4 linked regions of the Drosophila melanogaster genome follow. The protein of the gene in region 4 interacts with the protein of the main gene of each other region in a pairwise test. Each region holds a gene or a part of one and is shown on either strand. Other genes may lie near its edges.

Region 1 (5,854 bases), on a different chromosome or scaffold from region 4:
GCCATGTCCCCAGGTTGTCCCCGACGCCCACCGGTTGGTTGCCCACTTGGTTGTGGCCAAACTGATTAAGCACAGCTGAGGGTTCAGTCCGCTGCTTTTAGGGGTGAAATCGACACCAAAATATGAATACGTCTACTAACACGACGGATTGCAAATAATCAGGGCTTAAAAGAACTCGACTATAAAACATATGGTTGGCTATGATGGAGGAAGATAATTAAAAAATCGCAAAAGCTACAAGATTTTTGATGTTACTTGGATCTTCAGAGCTTCTATTGAACTTGGAATGATTGACTGGGTCGTTAAATTCGTTTTCTGCATTGGAAAGTGGATATTCGGTCTAGTCCAAAATGGACCTCTTGAATCACAGACAACAACAGAAGCTGCAACCTGCTGGGCCAACTTGCATTTTGTTTATCTGGGCATTTTAAATTTATAATTTCTTGTTTGCTAGCGCCTGAGATTGTTTCCCCCGCTCCTTTTTTGTTATTAAGAGTTTATTGCATTTTGCGCTTCCATTTTCAAGTGGCTCGTACGGCATTATTTATGGGAGTAGTTCTATGGCAGTGCGCTAGAAATCCACTTCAGCCGACTGCTCCGTTTGCAGCCCATCATCTGCTCCAACCCGGCGGCTTCGTCCTCATCCTCCATCATCGATATGGAGCAATGGCTTCATTTCGAGTGACACTTGTCGCTGGAGCTCTGCGGGACTGGGTGCCTGCCAGCTCGGTGCACTTTCCGCTGCTTTATGGTCTTGCCCGTCTCCCAAAATGGCATTGGGGTCGGTATGACATTCGGACGACTATGGACTGTCGATTGCCGTCCGCTGATTGCTGATTGCCGCTGAGTTGTTTTGACAATTTAATAGCCGAACCGCTTGGCGGTGACGCTTTATGTCACAATTTGCCCCAATTAATTCATTGCGGAAATCAAGGTAATTAGCATGGAATCACATGGTCTTTTCTTGCTCTCATTCTCATTTAAACTTTACCAGGAAATATTGTTTTCTCAAACGATAAATTCAGGGCAATATATTTGATTAGAAAATACTGTTTTTGAATAAAAATTTGATTACTCAATATATATCCAAATTCAATTTGATTTTAATTATTATCGTTTTAAAAGCTTAAGCAATTTTTAATACTCTGCCAGCAATTACATATCAACCTTAAATTATCTACAGATGAGGACTAGTTCAAAACACGAATACTAAACGAAGACAATTTTGATGTTAACGACCTTCCTTTTGCATCGCTCAGTTTTTGGATTGTAAATAGAAAAAATCATATATTTTGAGAAGAGCGTCTGACTATATACATACAGCATAGTGTTATACCATATTATCACAAAGCAAATGTTTTGTATGAAAATAAATTTATACATTTTTGCCCTATGCAGGCGAAGTATCACTTCACAGTCTGCCCCAAAAGCCACTTTGCCGGGGCACTTAACACTCAGCAGAATCCAATCAAGTCGATTGATACAAGATTATGTATTGATTCGACTACTGCTTATTGAAAATTCCATAAATTAGCAAATGAAAAACAGAGCGTTTGGCGCTAATGAAATCTCGTACGTCTTTATGGCGCAACCTAAACAAAACGGCTGGAAATCTCCGATGTCCGAGCACGGAATGTGCTTAATATCATTAAAATCAATAAAATAAACAACTAATTTGATAAGCTGACAGCTGGGCTACCCGAAGTGGCGGGCTATTCGTCCGCCGTGACAATGAGGAGCGGGCTGGAAAATGCATCCCCGCGAGCTTTCAATTGGCTGCCCGTCGGTCCAATCAGCATTTGGGCCCCCTGCACAGGCGCACGCCGCACGCTGTCGGCCCACCACCCAATGGCCAACCGCAGTGGGTGTTAATTTTCGCGAAACCAGTTTGCCGAGCGAGAGGGCGCTATGGTCGGGTGGGTTCCAATTGGACTGAGTGCGCAGCCTCTGTGCTCTTCTGTCCGACTCTGGAGCATGCGAGGAGGCGGCCATTTTCTTAGAGTTGTCGCACTCGCACCCATGGCTCAGGCCTATCCGACAGAGTGGTGGCTTGTGCCGAATACACCATGGCAAGCGCAACTCACCACAGGCAGGTCATACGCCTGGCCTGCTCGCACTCGCGCTTTCGTTACCCTCTATTCATTTTACGTCGTGCATAGGTCGATCCCATTCGCACGCATGCGATCGTCGGCAGATATTTTCACGAGGCAACACAGCAGCGAGTTAGAATTTCAGGAGCATTTCAGTCCTGCTGCGCATCTTGAAACGTCAAGTCTTGGCATTCGGTTAGCGTCAAGTCTTGCTGCGATTCGAACGCCCCAGAAACGCATCGCGCGCGAGTGCATTACGTAAATAAGTATCAAGTCGCATGCGAAATATCTAAGAGCGAAATAAGCGCACAGTATATACAGCTAAGTGAGGTGACCTCAGTGCGTGATGGGCTCATTGGCCTAGCAAAGTGCGAATCGAAAACTTGTAGTTCAGTTCTTTCTGAATTAATTTTAAAAACATATAAGCGAGCAATAACACTGTAACCATGATGATGAACGCCTTCATTGAGCCGGCTCAGCACCACCTGGCCAGCTACGGGCTGCGAATGTCGCCCAACACCACCGCCAGTAACAGCAACGCGCAGCAGCAACAGCAGCAGCAACTGGAGATGACCCAACAGCAGCAGCAACAACAGCAACAACAGCAGCAGCAACAGCAACAGGATCAGGAATCCGCGGCGGCCACTGCTGCAGCCTATCAGAACTCCGGATATGGGCACTTTAACAGCTATGCCTCCCGGGACTTTTTGCTGGGCAGGAGGGAGGCCGAGTACGGTGTGGCAGGATCCGCCGGACAGGCCTCCGCCGCAGCGGATTCCATGCTCTTCTCCGGCTTTCCCGCTCAGGCCGCGGAGCTGGGCTCCGGGTTCGGACAACACCCCTTCCACAGCCACCATCACCACCATCAGATGCGAATGGGCATGGCGGATGCCTACGCCGCCGGCCACCCGTACAACCACCACGGCAACTTCCCGACGGCGGCAGTGCACCACCCGGTCGTGCACCACCCGTCCCACCACGCCATGTCCGCGATGCACCCGGCCGGAGCAGGGGCCTTCCTGCGCTACATGCGCCATCAGCCGGCCTCGTCCGCCTCCAGCGTTAAGCAGGAGATGCAGTGCCTCTGGATAGACCCCGACCAGCCGGGCCTGGTGCCCCCGGGCGGCAGGAAGACCTGCAACAAGGTATTCCACTCGATGCACGAGATCGTCACCCACCTGACCGTGGAGCACGTGGGCGGACCCGAGTGCACCACCCACGCCTGCTTCTGGGTGGGCTGCTCTCGCAACGGACGCCCTTTCAAGGCCAAGTACAAGCTGGTCAACCACATCCGCGTCCACACCGGCGAGAAACCTTTCGCCTGCCCGCACCCGGGTTGCGGCAAGGTCTTCGCCCGGAGCGAGAACCTCAAGATCCACAAGCGGACGCATACAGGTAAGTGTGGCGGTGCATTCCGCTTTATATTTAAACCATATTAAACCATTCATTAAACTAAGAAAATACTTTTATTTAGTTTTGGTTTGGCAGTCAAATTCTGTGTGTAATTATTCCTGTTTTATAAAGATCTTAATACTAATAGAAAGTCGAAGCCTTATGCAGATTTTAACCGCTTATATTTAGAATAGCACATGCTAGGTCTGCAATCTCTTAGAATTCACCTTGCGTGGGCATAACCCTTGCCCGCCTGGGCAAATCCCGGACGTTGTCGATGTGAGCGTGTTACCGACGGCAAAAGTCGTTGCAACGCCCACTACCTGGCTTAACCCGCCACTGGCCGGGCGGGTCATCTTTTATGACACCTGTAAAACCTGCGCCCAAAGCTCTTCCGCGCCCAGAAAATCCCGCAAAGATGTTGTCCTTACGGCTAGGATTACTCTACGGCTTTAGGTTGACTTCGACTTTTGGTCTTAGTATTTCCCTAAGCCTGCGACTTCTCTTGACTTTGGATTTTGACTGGCATGTATTTAACTACGTTTGGAAACTTGGTCAAATTTGTAAAGGAACTGAAAAATTTAGTTTAGCTACTCCTTTGTTTTTTATACTTTAAGCCTTGTTGTCGGCTTCAGATTTTGTATTATTTAATAATAATGGCTTACTATTACTTTGATAGCCAACCGCTCTATGCAAATTCTCAATATAATTAATTTTTCTTAAATCCATCATTAATCATGCCCATTTCAAGCATTTCTCTTTCAATTGTCTTTCAAAAATAAATTAAAATCGCTTTGCAGCTCATAGCCTGAACACTTTTGAAAAAACATAGCCATAGTTGGAGGCTTTAAAATACAATTTATGCGGTATAGTCGTGATCTATGAGAAGTCGAACTATAAAGCCAGAAACGGAGCTTAACGCAAATTAATGACTTTGATTCCAGTGGCTGTTGAACTTGTTCCATTGAAATTTATGGCTGAGCATGTAGGGCTCATTAGAAGCGGCGAAACACAGCCATTAAAATCAATTAACAAGTGGAAGTTGGGAAAGCAAACATGAAATGCGAAAACACAAAACAAAGTTTCGCATAATTGGTGAAAAGAGCGCCAATCAGGTTAATAAACTTTCCAGCAAATATCGCTTGGTCCTGGATTATCCTTGATTGACCTCAGCCTTGGCGTAATTAACTTGGAAATTGGAGGAGAAGAATGAAAATATGGCCAGCAATATTCCGCAATATCCAGCATGCTTATATTTTGTTGTTTTAATGTTGGCTTTTGGCATTTGTTGTTGCCTCTTTATTTCTATTATTTTGTAATTTGGCCTCATGATTCCAAATTGAATTAAAATAAGACGTCGGGCTTCATTATAGCTTCATCTTGTAGTTACCGCGATTATAAACTCACAAAGAAATTCATAAATCACAGAATTAGCCACACAAAAAAGCTATTTCTGTAAATCTGTTCGGACAACAGTATTTTCTTTTGCACACTCATCGAAAGGTAATTAAAATGTTTCGATTTGATTTCGAGACGCCGCCATATTGTGTTCGATTTTGGAACAATCATGTGGCATTATAATGAGTTGGTTGCTGTATGATGATATTTTTGACTAATTTCATATTTCTTTTCTCCGCCGTGATGCAGCAGAAAAGTGCATTTTAGGACCTCTGACTGATTTGTGTGTGCCTATGATTGGTTGACCTGGCTACACATTGTCGGAGATAGCCAACATATTGATTAGCTTTCAAGTGGCCGGCGCACAACTTCATTACGGATCGGGATCGAGCTGGGATCGGTCTGGTATCTGGCTGGGATCGGGGCCTTTAACCTTTCCATACGACTCGGGCACTTGAAGTAGCATCCTCCACACCGCATAAATCAAAAATTCAATCAGCATCGCTGGCTCGGCTAAATGTCCCTTGGCACTGGTGTTTGTTTTTATTGCATTGACACCGCCGACCCAGGGCAAATAAACACACTCGAACACACTGTGTTGACACGTGTCAAAACTTCCGTTTGAAATGGCTCGGAAATGCTTCCGAGGCACTCCGTGCTGGCCCTCTCAAAAAAGCCATCGAAACCGAAATTGGGGTAACACTCGCCGGATTACTGGACGCATTCGCACATTCGCATTCCACTCCTCTAGCTTTATTTTATTTGCGCTGCGATTGTTTCTGTGCTGTTCTGTTTGGGTTACTCGCCATGCTACATTAAGCTTTTGATTTAGATTATGCAAAGGTTATTTACGACCTGGCTTCCACTCCTCGCCGATGGGACGGGTGAGGGGTCCGAGTTTGATAAGTGGGTGAGTAAAACGGAGCAGGGCAGTCAAGTACGTGTTTATGGATCCAGCCGATATAGATCTGCCC
Region 2 (4,852 bases), on a different chromosome or scaffold from region 4:
GTTATTCTATGGTTAACATATCAGTCATTGTTAAAACAATACTAACTTGTCCAGAACAGTAGGCGATTATTGCGAAACACAAACCCATTACAAGGAAGCATAAGTGACTCATTTCGCCTCTGTTGTTGGTTATTTGGTTTTGTTTTTTTTTTTTTTATCACCGAAAAGTGTTCGCAAAAAAAAATATTTGAACTTGAAACCGATTTGTTTTGGCTCGCTTTAATAATTCTGTTTAGTTGGTTATTTTATTAATGCTCTCAATTTATTTCTGCTTACAGACTGAAATCTCTGTGCAAAGGTATCGCATTTTTATGCTGAATTTTCAAACTGCCAAATGGGCGGCACTGGGCGACCTAAATTGCGATTCCACCTGTCATCAGCCGAGCTCTTCTTTGCCTTACCTATCATTATAGCCGATTTTGCCGCCCGTTTGTTATTGAACAATTGCGTGGGATGCCATTGGCATAACGCACAACAATGGGGAAGGACAACCAAACGATGTGTGTAATGACAGCCTGCGTTTCGGATTTATTGTATTTATTATATGCGACACTTGTTGCTGCGAATAAAGTTGCGGGTAAGTCAGTTCTCCCATCATTAAATCGATTCTCATCATATGCACTTTGTGTAACAATAATTATATAATAATATCAATGATATTACTCACTGTCTATGCTATAAGTGTATCAAGTTTAAAATGAGTCGCAAGACTATCAATAACTATCAATTAGAGTATATATCTAATGATAGTTTAATTTAAATATAACTAGCATCTAGATTTCACCCTTCATCGAAAACAACATTCAGCTTGGGTATAATTGTTTTTTTTTTTTTGTTCAAATTTTTTATTTGTTTTGCAAAGAAACCTGAGTGCCACGCCCCTCCTGGGCCGTTGAATGGGTGAGTGGGTGGTATTGGGGTGTGCATGAGTGGGCGTGGGCGTAGGCATGGGCGTTGGTCGATCAGGCTGTTTTTTTTTTTTTTTTTTGTAAAAAAAACATAGTAACTAATCAGCCGGATAAGCGAATGACTAAACCAGCCGCTTCAGTTGATTCCGGAGCCGCAGCAGTCATCCAATCCGTAACTCCTCCGCATCTGTTACCTAATAGGCGGGAGCAGCATAGCCGCCATGTCCGGCTGGACCGGCGCTATAGTGCTGATGGCTTGGAGCGGGACCATAGGGACCCTCACGCTCGCCGGCGATGTTGGCAAGAGCGGACAGACCCTGGTTGCCGCTCTGGAGCAGCTGATAGCCAGCGCTGGCGGCAGCGGAATCAGCTCCCGAAGCGTAGGCGGGCAGAGCACGGCCACCGTCATGGGGTCCAGGACCATGGGGTCCAGCACCGTGTCCACCGTGTCCGTGTCCGCTGTGTCCGTGTCCATGGCCACCGTGTCCATGGCCGTGTCCGTGGGACTGCGAGCCCTGTCCGTAGCCCTGCTTGTTCTCGTTGACAAAGTACTTCTCTGCTGGGGGCTTGACCACATTGACGAACACGGGCTCAACCTTGACGCGACGTGGGTGGTGCTTGACGTAGACCTTGCGGAGAACGATTGCTGGGGGCTTGTGGAGCACCACGGGAGCGGGCTTAACCACCAATGGTGGATGGTTCACCAGCACCTTGGTGGGCGGACGCTTGACAATGATGGGAGCGGGACGATGGATGAGGATCTCGCCCTTGTTCTGCGGGTAGGTGATCGATGAGGTCAGGGTGTTACCCTTGGTGTTCACCGGCTTGTACGGAATGTTCTGGTCGGATCCGTAGCTGCTCTGGCCAGCCTGTGCCACACCGGCGGCATCGGCTCCGGATTCGAGAGCACCAGCACCGGCGTTAGCACCACCGTACTCGCCACCAGCTCCACCGGCACCGCCGGCAGCTGCTGCGGCCGCTGAAGCGGCATCAGCACCGCCATCGGAGGCACCGCTTCCGGACTCGGGTCCATAGCCCTGGGAACTGCCGTAGTTGGCGCTTGCACAGGCCTAAAAGTAAATTGAGGGGGGGGGGGTGGATTAGAATTGGATCGACATATACATATACTTAAAATAAGTCTAGCATCGATAGATAGCTTGATTCCGTTTCAAGTAATTTAAAGGAAAGTCAATTTGCTTTTCATGTACGATTTACATGGCACAAACGAAAGCAGTCAGAATTGATAGACTTGGTTTTCTTGGGATTAATCCTAAGATTTCGAGCTTGAACACTTACGATCAGGCAGGCGGCCAGCGCCCAAATGTAGGTCGATCTCGTCATCTTGTCTCCCAGTTGCAGTTCCAGTTGCTCTTCGGCTTCTGGTGTGCTCCCGCTTGGACTGTCTGCTGTCTTCTGCTGCCCTCCATTGGTGGCCGACTACTTTAAATATGCTCCGGACGCGTCTCCGGCTCCGGGTACGTGACATTTGGATTGATGCCAACTCCGGTGCCGGCTGTTCCGCTCCGGGCCCACGCGATGCGAACGAAACATGGCCAAATGTTGATAGATCGCACGCATCGCTGCCAGCGCATATCACGGCGTCTCTTCCACTTACGTAGAAGCCACAACCCGAAAACCCCACTGCCCACTGCCCAGTTGCCATTGCCCGTTTTACAATAACAACGAACACATTGCCACCGAATCGGAATCAACAGCCGGGCTGTGAATCTTTGCCGCATATCGAGGTCCGAACGTCTGTTCAGATAGCGAAAATAGTTCCGCATTGGCAGACACAAGACTCCGGGAGTCGGAATAAGAGGTAATCCGAGGTGTAAGTGGATAGGGGGAAATGATTAGCCACCCAGCTGTAGTCCTTGAATTTCACACGGATTGCGCAGATTCGATTGTCTTTCTATTGTATTGTATTGTATTGTATTGTATTGTATTGTATTGTATTGTATTTCTTACTATAAATGTGATTAGATTGTTAGAAGAGTGGCTATCTTCACATGACCATTTTTAATTTAGAAAATCCATGTAACTGATTAAACCATCAGTTTAAAGTACCATATAAAAATGTATACTTAATAATTGCCAGATAAAATAAATCTCTAGTTGCAAAGAGATTTGAAGATGAAATATGGATCTTTAGCTATTCCAATTAGGAATTCAAAGGCTTACAAACACCTAAAAAGATTTCCAATTCTTCAATTATTATGTTGTTATGTTTTAAAACAATCTTATGAAACTCTAATATGAATTTGGCGTTTCAAAAGAAAAGGTTTAAATACGTATTTAATGCATTAAAAGTGCTATATTCTTTGTTTAAAAGAAAAGAGGCCGTAAAATTATAGTTGCTCCATTAATTCATAGTTATGTTATTATTTATTATTCATTCCGGAATCAACAATATGTTGATAAAGATGACCTTTTGATCCCATTCTTTGCAATTAAACGATAACTGGAATAAGATAGCTACCATCACAAGAGTGTGAAATAATTTCATGCATGATAATGCTATCCAATATCTTTCGAATTGTATCTCATAAAATGCGTACCATGTTTATGCATATTTATAGAATAGTTAAAATACTTGTATGACCGTAGAGATTTCAATTACAAACTTATTTATACTCGTTCATAATTTTATGTTCATACTTTATACCATTTTCCCCTTTATTATTTATTTTTGAAGAAAACTAGATATAATTTTTTGTTCTCTCATGCATTCGTATATATTTATATATTCATAAATATGTGCTTAATCTGTGTGCTTCATTGCCACTCAGGTAGCCCCTTCCGGTCGAAAATAATTGATGACAAAACGTTTACGTTTCAAGTATTTTTTTTTCATTTATTTGCGCTCAGTAGTTCGGCAAAGAAAAAAAAAAACAAAAATTTAAATTAAACCAGCTGTCGCAGCTGAGGAGCAACCCATGCCCAGGATGAGCACCTTAGTAGTTGGGCTGGCCATAGGGCGCGGGGCTGTTGTACAGTGGAGCCTCGTTGCCGTAGGCATTGCCATCGGCAGAGGAGGCGGCACCGGCGGCGGAGGAAGCAGCTCCGGCACTACCATAACCCTGGGGCTGGCTGTACTCCCTGGGCTGGCTGTAGACGGGTGCAACCACCGGGGCCAGTGGAGCCTCGATCTTCTTGCCGGGCTTGTAGACCTTCACGTAGACGGGGTTGAGGCTCAGCGGAGTGGGCACCTTGTTGATCACCTCCTGTTGGTAGATGACCGAGGGCTTGATCTTGTAGATCACCGGATTGCCGCGCACCACAGTCGGTGGGCCGCTGTTCACATGGGCTGGTGGTGCACCAGGCTGGTGGACAATGATTGGTGGCAGGGGCTGGGTGGCGATCACCTGGTGATTGTTGTGGCCCGATGGCACCAACAGGGAGCGGAACAGATGCTGGTCAACGAACTGTGGCGACACCACCTTGATCTTGCCCTGACGGATATTGCTGGCCAGATTGGTCTCGGCCAGAGATTCGGCAATATCCTCGGAGTTCTTCAGCTTCTGGTAGTTGGGATCGGCATTGAGGGCCTGAAGTTGGGCCTGGACGCGACCCAAACGACGGGCCTCCTCCGGCGTGGGCTGGATCTCGGCCTGTGAGGCGATCTGATTGGCAGCCTGCTGGTTGCCACCAGACGCCACATTCACGTACTCCTCGAGTCCGGCATTGGGACCGGACAGGTACTGTCCATGTCCATGTCCGTGTCCGTGTCCGCCAGCGGGACCATAGTTAGCGCTCACCAGCTAATGAGGAGGAGGTAAGAGAGAGAGAGAGAGAGTTTGCGAGATTAGCGGGATGCCCAATGCGAATGCCATGGATAAAAGCTACTAACCGGCGTGGCGGCGATGGCCAAAATGCCAAACCAGAGACCGAGTTGCATGTTGCCGTTTACGTGTGGATCGTCTACTGCTCGCTGTCTGGCGATG
Region 3 (4,547 bases), on a different chromosome or scaffold from region 4:
TACAAATTGTTATGATAAATGGAATGTGAAATGGGGGGGGGGGGGGTGGGCTTTGAGTGCAGCTGCGCTATGTTTTCATAACGCGATAAGCGGTCAGGATTACACTCCTCCCCTAGCCCCATCCTCCTCCTCCACCTCTTGCAGTTGGTCCTGCTCCTCCGGCTGGGTATCAACGGTATCGTTGGTGTCCGCATTCAGGTCCACCCAGTTGTCATCGCTGATTTCGTCAATGGTATCCGTGTCATCCACTACGGCCGCCACGCTCACGTCATCCGTGGAGCCGGAATTAGTGGTGCCAGTGGTTGTGGTGGCCGTGACGGCGGACGAGGGTCTCAGTATCTCCTCCTGAGTGGCCGGAGTCGGGGTCGTCGACGTGGTGTACGATGCGGAGGAGGGTGTCTCCGAACGGTAGCCCATTCCCGTAATGTACGACCCGGACCCAGAACCCGAGCCCGATCCAGACCCTGATCCGGATCCCGATGCGGTTTCCGTGGCCGTTTCCGTGTTGGAACTGCAACTTGCCGTTGTTCCCGAAGTGGAGGCGTCGTCTCCGGGGAGGGCGTCCTGAGAAAGCCTAGGTCGCGGGGCGCCCTTTAACTTGTTCTTTTGGCGGGCAACCTCATAGTCCTTGAGATCGGACAGCTTGAGTGTGATTTTCTGCAGATCGCGCTTCAGCATCTCGAAGTCGAATTCCTGATTTTTGCTGATGATCCGAAAGACTGGTGGTCACGCGCCGATCGCAATTAGAACAGTGACTTTTGTATAACAGTCACTGGGCCAATAGCGGCTTTATACCTTCACTGGCCCCCATAGAGTGACCGAAAATCACTTTTACTGTCATACATATGCAATGTAATCGATTCTTTATTGTTGAGTAGGATTTAACTTTGTTTACATATGTACATATATCATATTTGTACTACATCCAACCCAAATTCAAAGACATGCGAGTAATGTATTCGCTATTTGCAGTACATTTATATTGCGGTGAATGATGGGGGAAAACCAGTACATATACATATACGAATGATGGTGCAGTGATGAGCATGGAGCGATCGAGAAAAAAAAAACAGTATGCATTACGATCTTGGGGATAGGTAGTGGTCCTAGTAGAAGCCGTAGTGGCCATGGTGGTACGGATAGTAGCCGTGGTGTCCGCCGTAGTAGGGCGCCGCATGGACGTATCCGTAGCCGCCGTAGTAGGGACTGCTCAGTCCACCGTAGCCGCCGTAGTGACCGTGTCCATAGGCACCGTATCCGCCGTATCCGCCGTAGCCGCCATAGCCGTGGCCGAACCCGTAGATGCCTCTCTTCTCCGTCTTCTTCTCATCCACGGCGGATGGCTCCGGCTCCAGAGCTTCAGGAGCAGGCTCCGAAACTGCTGCCCAGGTGCTCATGAAGCAAATGGCCAGGATGACGAACACGCACTGCACAGAGAAAAAAAGGTTCGGTATATGAAACATTTGAAACGATGTTAACAAATGATTTGTTTCAAATTGTAGCCAGAGCACTTCCAGCAATTTTAAATAACTTGTATTTTGTTGGATAAACTGTCACTCAAAAAAAAGTCCACTCGTTTGCTTGACCGGTGTCCTGGTATCCTGGTATCCTAATGTCCTGGTGTTGCTGCTTACCAAGAACTTCATGTTGCTGCTGCAGATGTTGCTAGTGGCTGTTGGCTGGTTGACTTGATGGGTAGGGCGCCAGGCGAGGTTTGTTGATGGCTGCCAGTGGCCCGACGCTTTTATAGTCACCCGGCTTGGCTTATTGTTGCCAGTTGCTGCTACAGTTGCAATTATGCAAACTGACAATAACGGCGGCAGCAGCAGCAGCAGCAGCGATTGTTGCAGCTGAATTGAATGCATGACGGGTTGAGGACTTGAAACCGAATATTGTTTATGCTGCGGAGCCAAAAGGTCATCCATCCGCTCATCCGGCGGAGGAGAACTTGGCGGAGGATTGCAGTGGGGGGAGTGAGGTGGAGTGGGCGTGGAAACTAACGATATCGGTTATAATTGCCAGCGTAGTCGAAATTCTAAGATCCCAGGCTCGTTGGGTAACCGAAGTGGGGCAGCAACGCGATCCACAAGCAACGTGCAACACGAGACACTCGACGCGTTCCACAATCACCAAGTGCCCCTCTCGTACACGGTATGCATATCGTGTAACACTTTCACTGCCAGATCGGATGGCCAGCAGCGCCCAAAAGGCGCACTATTACCTAAGCTCGTTCAGAAGCTGGCCAAATGCTGGGATGCCACTGGCCCCGTGGGAATCGCATATGCGCGCCAGCATTATACACAAATTACAAACAATTGCACGTTTGGCAGCGTTTTGGCATTTTAATTAAGCTGCCAGACAGCTGAGATCTCTGCCAGATCATTTCCAATGCAAAGTCTTATCGACAGAATATCCAAAGTGCACGACTTTGACGGAGACCTCTGGCTTAAGGGGTATATTGGGACAAGGATCGGTGACCAGGTCAATGGTCATTAGTTTTAATGGGCTTGAAACTAGGTTGAAGAGATCTTCTATTCAGAGGAGCACAGCTTTTGCTTAATATACTAAAGTTTTAAAACAATTTGATAGCCATTTGGGCAGACGACTCTGTTCTGCGCGTTCCATTATTCTCGATCACTTCCGTCTGCCGGGGGTACTTGCTACCCAGTACCCAGTGCCGTGCCCACACAATAAAGGACGACCTTGACCGCAGTGGCAATTGCAAATCGCAATTGCAGTCTGCTGCGGCTGTTGCTTTTGCTGCTCCGAGTTCCCAAGTCATGAATGAAGCAACGCCGGAGGCAACATTGTTGAATGAAGCATGCAAAAGATTTTCCCAATCGACGACGTCTCGCCATCTCTGGCCAAAAGTGGGTGGCACCGCCATTGTCTCCTTCTCCCCGCGGTTGTTTTCGTATCCACATCGTTTAATATTTATGCTCTGCCCATTGGAGGTGAATGCACGCGAGACGCGTTGGGCAAGCGGAAGACCAAGCAGCCAAGGGGTTTGGTCTATGGACTGGGACCTGGTCACGATCCGGAGATGACAACATATTTGATTGCCAGCTAAATTATAATTCTTGACTAAGTCTAGTCCGCCGAACGGGTCGATGTCCATGTCGCTGTCGATTGATTGATTTCCCATTGTAGCCGACCAGTTTGATTTACGGCCCAGACGGCTAATTGCGCATTGTTGGCTTGGTTCCAGGGTTAGATCTTGAATCTGGAATCTTACAATCCCACCGGGCCTGCCGACGGTCCTCCACTTTGGCCAGCTGTCCGAGGTTACACAACAACAACCGGCGTTGGCCGTTTTCAGCTGAAAATGCTTACATTTCCTTACAGTTTATTGCGCTTAACAGACATTTAACAATTAAAGGGGCGGAGGAGGGCGCGCCTAGTACTTCAGTTCCTTGGCCTTGTCGTGGGCTCCCTCGTCCAGGAGCTTCAGCTCCGCCTGCTGCTTCTCCGGTCGGATGACCGTGCAGTAGTGGTAGTAGCGCATTCCCAGGATGTAGGTGCCGTACAGGGTGACTCCAATGCAGGCATACACCGCGCCGCGGTGCAGCTTGTCCAGCAGCGTGTTGGTGTTAATCGGCTTCTTCTGCATGGCGGCAAATCCCTTCCAAGTCCATAAAAGTTTCCGGCAGTCGAGTCCGTCGCCTCAGCTGGTCTGTCAGTGATGACGGCGGCGAATGTATCGATAATTGGGCGTACATTTACTAGCCAAAATAAAGATGAAGACAGTCGAATGAGTACTATATTTTTAAGTGAATTTTAGGAAATCGTTCCAAATGTCCCATTTAGCTTTGAGTCTCACTCGTTTAACGTCGTTTTATCGTTAATCTCACTTTTAGCTACTCTAGCTGGAAAAGGCTTAACTTAAATCGCCGATTAATAATATCGCTGATCTCTGGCCAATCGATATACACCTATACGCACGTGTTTACAAATTTGTGTACTTCGTGGGAATATTTCATCGTATTCTACAACGCCATTGTGAAATAGCTGGACCGAATAGACCTCCGGAGGATTCATGGATCACGAATACGTTGGGGTTAGCCCGCTGGGCGCAGCGGACGGCAAGGGCGCCGGATCGAACGCCGTCATCCTGTGCTGCGAGTGCGGAGTGGCCATCCAGCCGAATCCGGCCAACATGTGCGTCACCTGCCTGCGCAACCATGTCGACATCACGGAGAACATCCCAAAGCAGGCCGTGCTCCACTTCTGTCGTAATTGCGAGCGCTATCTGCAACCGCCGAACGAGTGGATACAGGCCGCCTTGGAGTCCCGCGAACTCTTGGCCATTTGCCTTAAGAAGCTAAAAGGCCTGAAGGAAGTGAAGTTGGTGGATGCCGGCTTCATCTGGACAGAACAGCACTCCAAGCGCATAAAGGTGAAGCTGACTGTGCATGGGGAGATCATCGGGGGAACGATGCTCCAGCAGGTATTCGTGGTGGAGTTCACTGTGCAGAACCAGATGTGCAACGACTGCCATCGGACCGAGGCCAAGGACTTCTGGCGCTGCCTCGTGCAGGTTCGTCAGC
Region 4 (6,106 bases):
AATGCTAGCCGCTGCACCGCCCCCAGTTGGCCTTGTCGCGGGTTGGCTCAAATGAATATGGGATTGGGCTGAGGCTTAGTTTGAGCTGATCTTGCAGAATTGCTTATCTTAGCCTTGCCGTTTGAACTTTTGCCAGCTCTCGATCGCATTCCACAAATGATGTGCAAAGCGAATGTGGGTATATGAAACCAAAAAGCGATGTTTCGACGAGATCTAAAAGAAATTTAGTAGCGAACAGAAGATTTCACTTTATGCACATGTGAAAAGTGGCACATGATGATGAGGCGGCTGCTGTTCGCCAGTTCCGATCATTGGGCACTTCTCGGCGATTGGCAAATGTGGCGATGATGGCTTTCTTTTGGTACCAACACCACACACCACGGATCGCAAGCAAAAGCAGGGGAATGTGCAAAAGCGGCTAAAACAAATAAACACAGGCAGCCGACTGGTTCAGGTATATAGTATAGTAGGTATCTATGGGTTCTTGTTTTGGCCAAAAAAGAACAGCAAATGGAGACCGAAATGGCGGAGAGGAAGAAGGAGAGAGCGTGGCGAAAAAGCAGGAAGTAAATGCAATTTGGGCGGTCGGCTTAGGGCAAGCAGTTCGGGCAAATAAACTATAATTAACACTAATGCGGAATGACCATTTCTGGTCAACTATTCCACGGTTATATTTTCGGTTTTGGCCAACGCACGCAAATAACACACACACTCGAAACCGCACAACGGATGACGCTAGGGTCCGAAACTTGATCTTGCGCCTTGCTGCTCTTGTTGTTTTTGCTGCTACGGATTGCTCTAAAGTATCTTGCGGATGCCGATTTGAGTCGAGTTACAAGCGCGACCACGTCTGTACGAAGCGACGCTCGCTTACCTTCTGGCCGGACTTACCTGTTGCTGCCCGTTCTTTCCAATGAGAGGCGCTCACAAAGACTCGGCTCGGAATACTGGTTTTCGGCTCTTGCCGGTTCTGTTTTGCTGCGGGTTTCGCGCACGCGCAATGGAATTGGCAATGAAAACTGGCAGTGAAGTTTGAAGCCCACTTTTGGGCTCACGAAAAAAGTATTTTCGGGATTCATTATTGCCTACCTTTTAAAGGGGTTCCTATTTACAATCCATAGCCCTGCTTTAATTTAATTTAATATGAAGCAAACTACAACATTTGTAATAAAAATTACATACAGAGATGTAAATTAACTTCATGATCCGATTAAAAATAAGCCTTAAGAATTTGTACAACTTGAACTACATTAAATTATGCGCTATCAATCTACATATTAGCAAAATCTATTCATTTTTTATCAACCCACTACCGAATAAATTAATTCTGATAAAATGCCAAAACATGATTTGAATAATAAGAATCGCGTCTGTTAATAGAAATTGAGATACCTTTATTAATAATATTATAAATACAAAACATTCAATTTAGCTATATTTCATTTAATTATTCAAGGTAAGTCCTTGCAATGCGGAACAGCTAGCCTTAACTTACTCTAAGTACAACTAGCGTAGTTAGTGGTTAGAGAGCATCGTCCACCTGGAACTGTATCAGATCCTCAACCGGAAAGCGGAAAAGCGAGGCGGTCTGGGCCTCCGCTGCCATCTGTTCGATATTGGCGCTCTTCGGATAACGATAGTGCTCATCCGCAGGTGTTTTCCTATATCGATAATCCTGCCGAATGCTGCCCAAGGCGGAATGATCTGGGAGCTCAGCCGCCACAATAGGATGCTCAAAGTCAATAAGCGGCAGGTGATCGCTGCGCGAAATGGTACTGGATCGATTTCCTGGCTGGGATTGCAGATGTTGCTGTTGTGTCGCTTCCTGTTGCTGTTGGGTTTGATTATGCGACGGATGGTGTTGCTGCTGCTGCGACGGATGGTGTTGCTGCTGCTGCTGTTGTTGCAGACCAGAGCCACTGCCATTGACTTCTTGTCTTGGTTCAATGGGACTGGGCGGATTGGGTGGCGGCAAGTCATTCGAGTTGATCATGTTGCGTTGCATGTTGTGATTGTAGAATGGATTGGTGGAGGCGCGAATCGTGGCAGTTGGTTTCTGCTTGGGGAACACGTTCAAGTGCACCATGATGGGGTTCGTTTGGCTATCCACTTGACTTTGACCCTGTCCGGAACTCTGTCCGTAAATGGGCTCCTCAGGATGCACGCTCTTCGGTGGCGGAAACTTGTGGGCCTGGTTGTGGTACAGAGCCTGCTGCTGACTGTATCTGGTAGCCTGGTCAGGGAAGACTACGGGCTGTTGGGTGGGGAACTTAAAGGGAGTCTGGTAAATGCCCTGACCCATGTGATACGCGGCAGCCGTGGTACCAGTCAATGCAGCAGGCGAGGGAAGGGCATAGTCCTGCTGAAATGGATGCCGCATCACAGAGGCAGGCCGCGAAGGCGGCAGCACAGGATATATGTCCAGATTGACCTTAAAAGGAACCCTTTTCAGATGCGGTTGCCGTGTGGCATTCAGCGTGACCACAGGCTGTGCAAAATGCTGGTGCACGAAGGGATCTGCCACAAAATGCTGCTGACTGCCATGCTCCAGTAGCTGTTGTTGCTGCTGTTGTTGCTGATGTTGTTGCTGCAGTTGCTGCTGAAGGTGCTGTTGTTGCTTCTTTTTCTTCTTTTTAGACAATGGTTTTCCGTTTCCCACTGGCTGCATGGCTAACAGATTTACATCCTGCGGTGAACGGGGCTTGTAAGGATACAGTTGATCGATGGCCACCCTTTGGTGGGGCATCACACCGGGATTATACCATGGCATTGGCATAGACATCATGGGGAACATGGGCATCGGTATGGTGAACTGCATCTGTTTCTTGTTGCGCTTGCCGCGAAAGAAGTTCCCTATTCCACTGGACTTGAAATTCTTGAACGTACCGGCGATGTGTAGACCCGTGGGCATCATCACCATTGGTGGCAGCTTACTGGGCGCTAAGCCTCCGATGTGCAGATGCTGCAGGATATCCTGGATGTTGTTAAGCTCGGGTCGACCCTCACCCTTAGTGAACTGTTCGGGCATCGGACCATCGTAGGGGAAGTGGAACGGCTTTGGCTTGAACTCATCCTGACCTCGAAGTGCTCGGGTTCCCGGCGTTTCGGAGTACTGCCTTCGTAGCAAACCCTTTGTGGGCGCCGGTGGCGGAGAGGGTGAGCCCAGGGACAATTGCATATCCTGGGTGGTGAGGCGCGGGGGGCGTGGCATCTGATCTCGCAGCAACCCCCTCAGTGGCGTCATGGTCGCCGATCGCTTGGGCAGGCGCTCGTAAACATGGGCGTCGTCCGTTTCGTGCGAAGATGTTGCGTGTTGCTGCCGTTGCGCTTTCGTGCGCCACGTCCCGTAGATGGGTGCAATGTTGCTATCGGCACGCTCCAATAAGTAGGCGGTTTCCCCAGCAGCTCCCTGCGTCGCCTGCATCTGTTGCAGATGCAGCTGCAGTTGCTGTTGCTGCTGGCGCAGGTACTGTTGCTGCTGCTCGTGCTGCAGTTGCTGCAGCTTGGCCCGCATCTTCTCGATGTCGCTGTCGCTGTCCGAGGGCTCGATCTCCGTGGTGGCCTGGGATGGCTCGTCTGCTGAGGACTCAATGTCGTTCAGAGATTGCTGCTGCTGGTGCTGCTGATAAAGAGTGGCTGCGGAGGCGACCTTCACTACCATGAGAGACATCTGCGGGTACACACAAAATGAAATCAAAGATAAGAGATAATTGGGAGATGTACAATTACGGCCCCCTTTCCTCATGTCTAGATTTTCGCGTAATTGTTACTCAAAATATGTAAACAACAAACAAAAATTGTCCAATTACACTGTACTGCGTAATAAAAAAAAAACCCTTTTGTATAAGAGGTTCGAATCCTCAACTCACTATTGTGTACACCAGGATCAGGCCCATAATCCACCGCCTGCCTTTAGTCCAGCAAGGATCCAGTCGCGTTCGAGTGTCCCGTTGTCCTTGACCGACTGCCGACTGCATGAACATCTTTCCGGGATCTGCTGCTCGAACCACTCGGCTTGCCTATCGCTTGATGAATGTGGGCCTGAGCTTCTGCCTCATCGCGGATCGCAACGATGACTGATTGCAACTGGGAGCTGGCGGCGCCTAAAAAGCGTCGGTTATATCGGCCCAAGTGCAACAGCTTAATTAGAAAGTTTAATAGAGTTTGGCTGCGAAAGCAAAACAGCAAGCTACAGACAGATAAATAAATTAATTGCTCAGGCGAATTCGTGCTCCCAGGCAAGTGGAAAAGAAAGAGATATTAAAAAACGCATTGACCATGAAAATCTGAAGATAGCTGCGAAGTAACTAGAAATATCTTCGGGGCGTGATGAAACCGAAGTGGTTATGCACTCACGAAGGAGCTGACTAGCCATAGCTCTAATTTTGTATATAAGTGAAATACTTTTTAAAAAGGGAAATGATAACATTTAGTGATAATCAATAATTATATTAAAAAAATCGATTCAATATTTTAAAAGTCATAAGTTCAAATCACATTTTAACTATATCTCAAATTTGACATTTAATTATAACCTAAGGTTAAATTATTTCATATTTCATGAAAATATACATCGCTCATAGTAAACATACATGTATTTAAATACCTACTCATACGAACTTTTCAAACCTATTAACTAAGCTAACGTGTTTCACATCCATAACTTAAATTAGTAGAGACCAGAAGTGGAGGTCAAGGTTAACTGCCTAACCTGCACTTTGGGCGCTTTATGACTTGCAAGCAACGATCTCCTTTGCATAGTCGTTAAAACCGACTTTTAAGATAACTCCCAAAAGAGGAGGAACCCACGAGACCAACCAGACCACAAAATCTCCCGGACATGGCTTGATCCCATTTCCCGGTTAGGAGTGAAAAAGAAAATATGTTATTATTGTTTGGGTTTCAAACATCGCACATAACATAACAGGACCGCATGTAATTTCCGCTTCCCAAAAACAGATGAAAAAAATGCTTGTAAATATTCGAAAAACTTATTTTATTGTTCAGGTTTCAGCGATCCGAATTAAAAGTTTATTTAATCGTAATATAGAGCTATATAGTCTTGAGCTGGCGTCCGTCACAGACGACGGCCGCCCATCGATTGTAGAATAGTGATAGAACATAGCAAGAGTTGGATAGACTGTTAGCTGTACAATTGGGGCACTCATTTACAATGATCCCTAGCTGTATGAGTATGCGATTCATTAATTACAAAAATAAAATAAAAACAAACAAATGTCGTCCTTGCAGGCGCACCAGTGGCGCCCTCTAGCACCGCTGGCGCCGGATCGTGTAAAGTTAGACTGTACGAGAATTGACTAGATCAATCTAGCCCTAGACGATGGCCCTATCCCTAATCACATCTGGATCTCTAGATCTAGAAGTTGAAGGGGATGCTGGGCACGGGGTACTGGTAGCCCTGGTGCTTGGTGGGTGCGGGTGGGACGTAGACTGTGGTGCGCTGCGTAGGGGGTGGCACGTACACGGTGGTGCGCACTGTTGGTGGTGGCACGTACACGGTGGTCCTACGAGTGGGTGGTGGAGGAGGTCGGGTGGTGCGCACAACAGTGACGGGGGGCAGGTAGGTGGTTGGTGGCTTAGTTGGTGGCCGAGTGGGTGGTGGAGGAGGGCGGGTGGTGCGCACAGTTGGGGGAGGCAGGTAGGTGGTTGGTGGCTTAGTTGGGGGCCTCGTGGGTGGAAGAGTTGGCCGAGGAGTGGTACGAACGGTGGTGCGAACGGTGACCGGTGGCAGAGGCTTGTTGGTGGGTGGCAGGTAAGTAGGAGCCGGGGTTGTCAAACGACGAGTGGTGGGTGGGTAGGTTGGTGGCCGGGTTGGTGGGCGAGTTGGTGGTGGGGTGGCACGGGTGGTGCGCACGGTAACGGGAGGCAAGTAAGTGGTTGGTGGCTTAGTTGGTGGCCGAGTGGGTGGTGGAGGAGGGCGGGTGGTGCGCACAGTTGGGGGTGGCAGGTAAGTGGTTGGTGGGCGAGTTGGTGGCTTGGTAGGAGGCAGAGTTGGCCGAGGAGTGGTACGAACGGTGGTGCGAACGGTGACCGGTGGCAGAGGCTTGTTGGTGGGTGGCAGGTAAGTAGGAGCCGGGGTTGTTAA

Evidence for each region.
Region 1: the proteins of CG13728 (region 4) and opa interact in a two-hybrid assay, tested with the Drosophila melanogaster proteins (one large-scale study listed by BioGRID).
Region 2: the proteins of CG13728 (region 4) and Cp38 interact in a two-hybrid assay, tested with the Drosophila melanogaster proteins (one large-scale study listed by BioGRID).
Region 3: the proteins of CG13728 (region 4) and CG17777 interact in a two-hybrid assay, tested with the Drosophila melanogaster proteins (one large-scale study listed by BioGRID).

The regions. Positions count from the first base shown.
Region 1 is NT_033777.3:4,850,570-4,856,423, forward strand, and holds the start of opa (odd paired), read left to right. Parts: upstream 1-2,243; 5' UTR 2,244-2,536; coding exon 2,537-3,485; intron 3,486-5,854. UniProt on the Drosophila melanogaster protein: Transcription factor essential for parasegmental subdivision of the embryo. It is involved in the activation of wingless (wg) in odd parasegments.
Region 2 is NC_004354.4:8,479,311-8,484,162, reverse strand, and holds Cp38 (chorion protein 38), read right to left. Parts: upstream 2,327-4,852; 5' UTR 2,250-2,326; coding exon 2,205-2,249; intron 1,979-2,204; coding exon 1,103-1,978; 3' UTR 852-1,102; downstream 1-851. Other genes in the region: Cp36 (chorion protein 36), read right to left, coding at 3,863-4,669, 4,759-4,806.
Region 3 is NC_004354.4:2,184,028-2,188,574, reverse strand, and holds CG17777 (uncharacterized protein), read right to left. Parts: upstream 1,721-4,547; 5' UTR 1,647-1,720; coding exon 1,635-1,646; intron 1,428-1,634; coding exon 1,107-1,427; 3' UTR 834-1,106; downstream 1-833. Other genes in the region: CG3457 (uncharacterized protein), read right to left, coding at 100-678; CG17776 (uncharacterized protein), read right to left, coding at 3,398-3,610; Nmd3 (Nonsense-mediated mRNA 3), read left to right, coding at 4,037-4,547.
Region 4 is NT_037436.4:17,378,651-17,384,756, forward strand, and holds CG13728 (uncharacterized protein), read right to left. Parts: upstream 4,079-6,106; 5' UTR 3,984-4,078; coding exon 3,870-3,983; intron 3,671-3,869; coding exon 1,523-3,670; 3' UTR 1,376-1,522; downstream 1-1,375. Other genes in the region: CG13731 (uncharacterized protein), read right to left, coding at 5,378-6,106.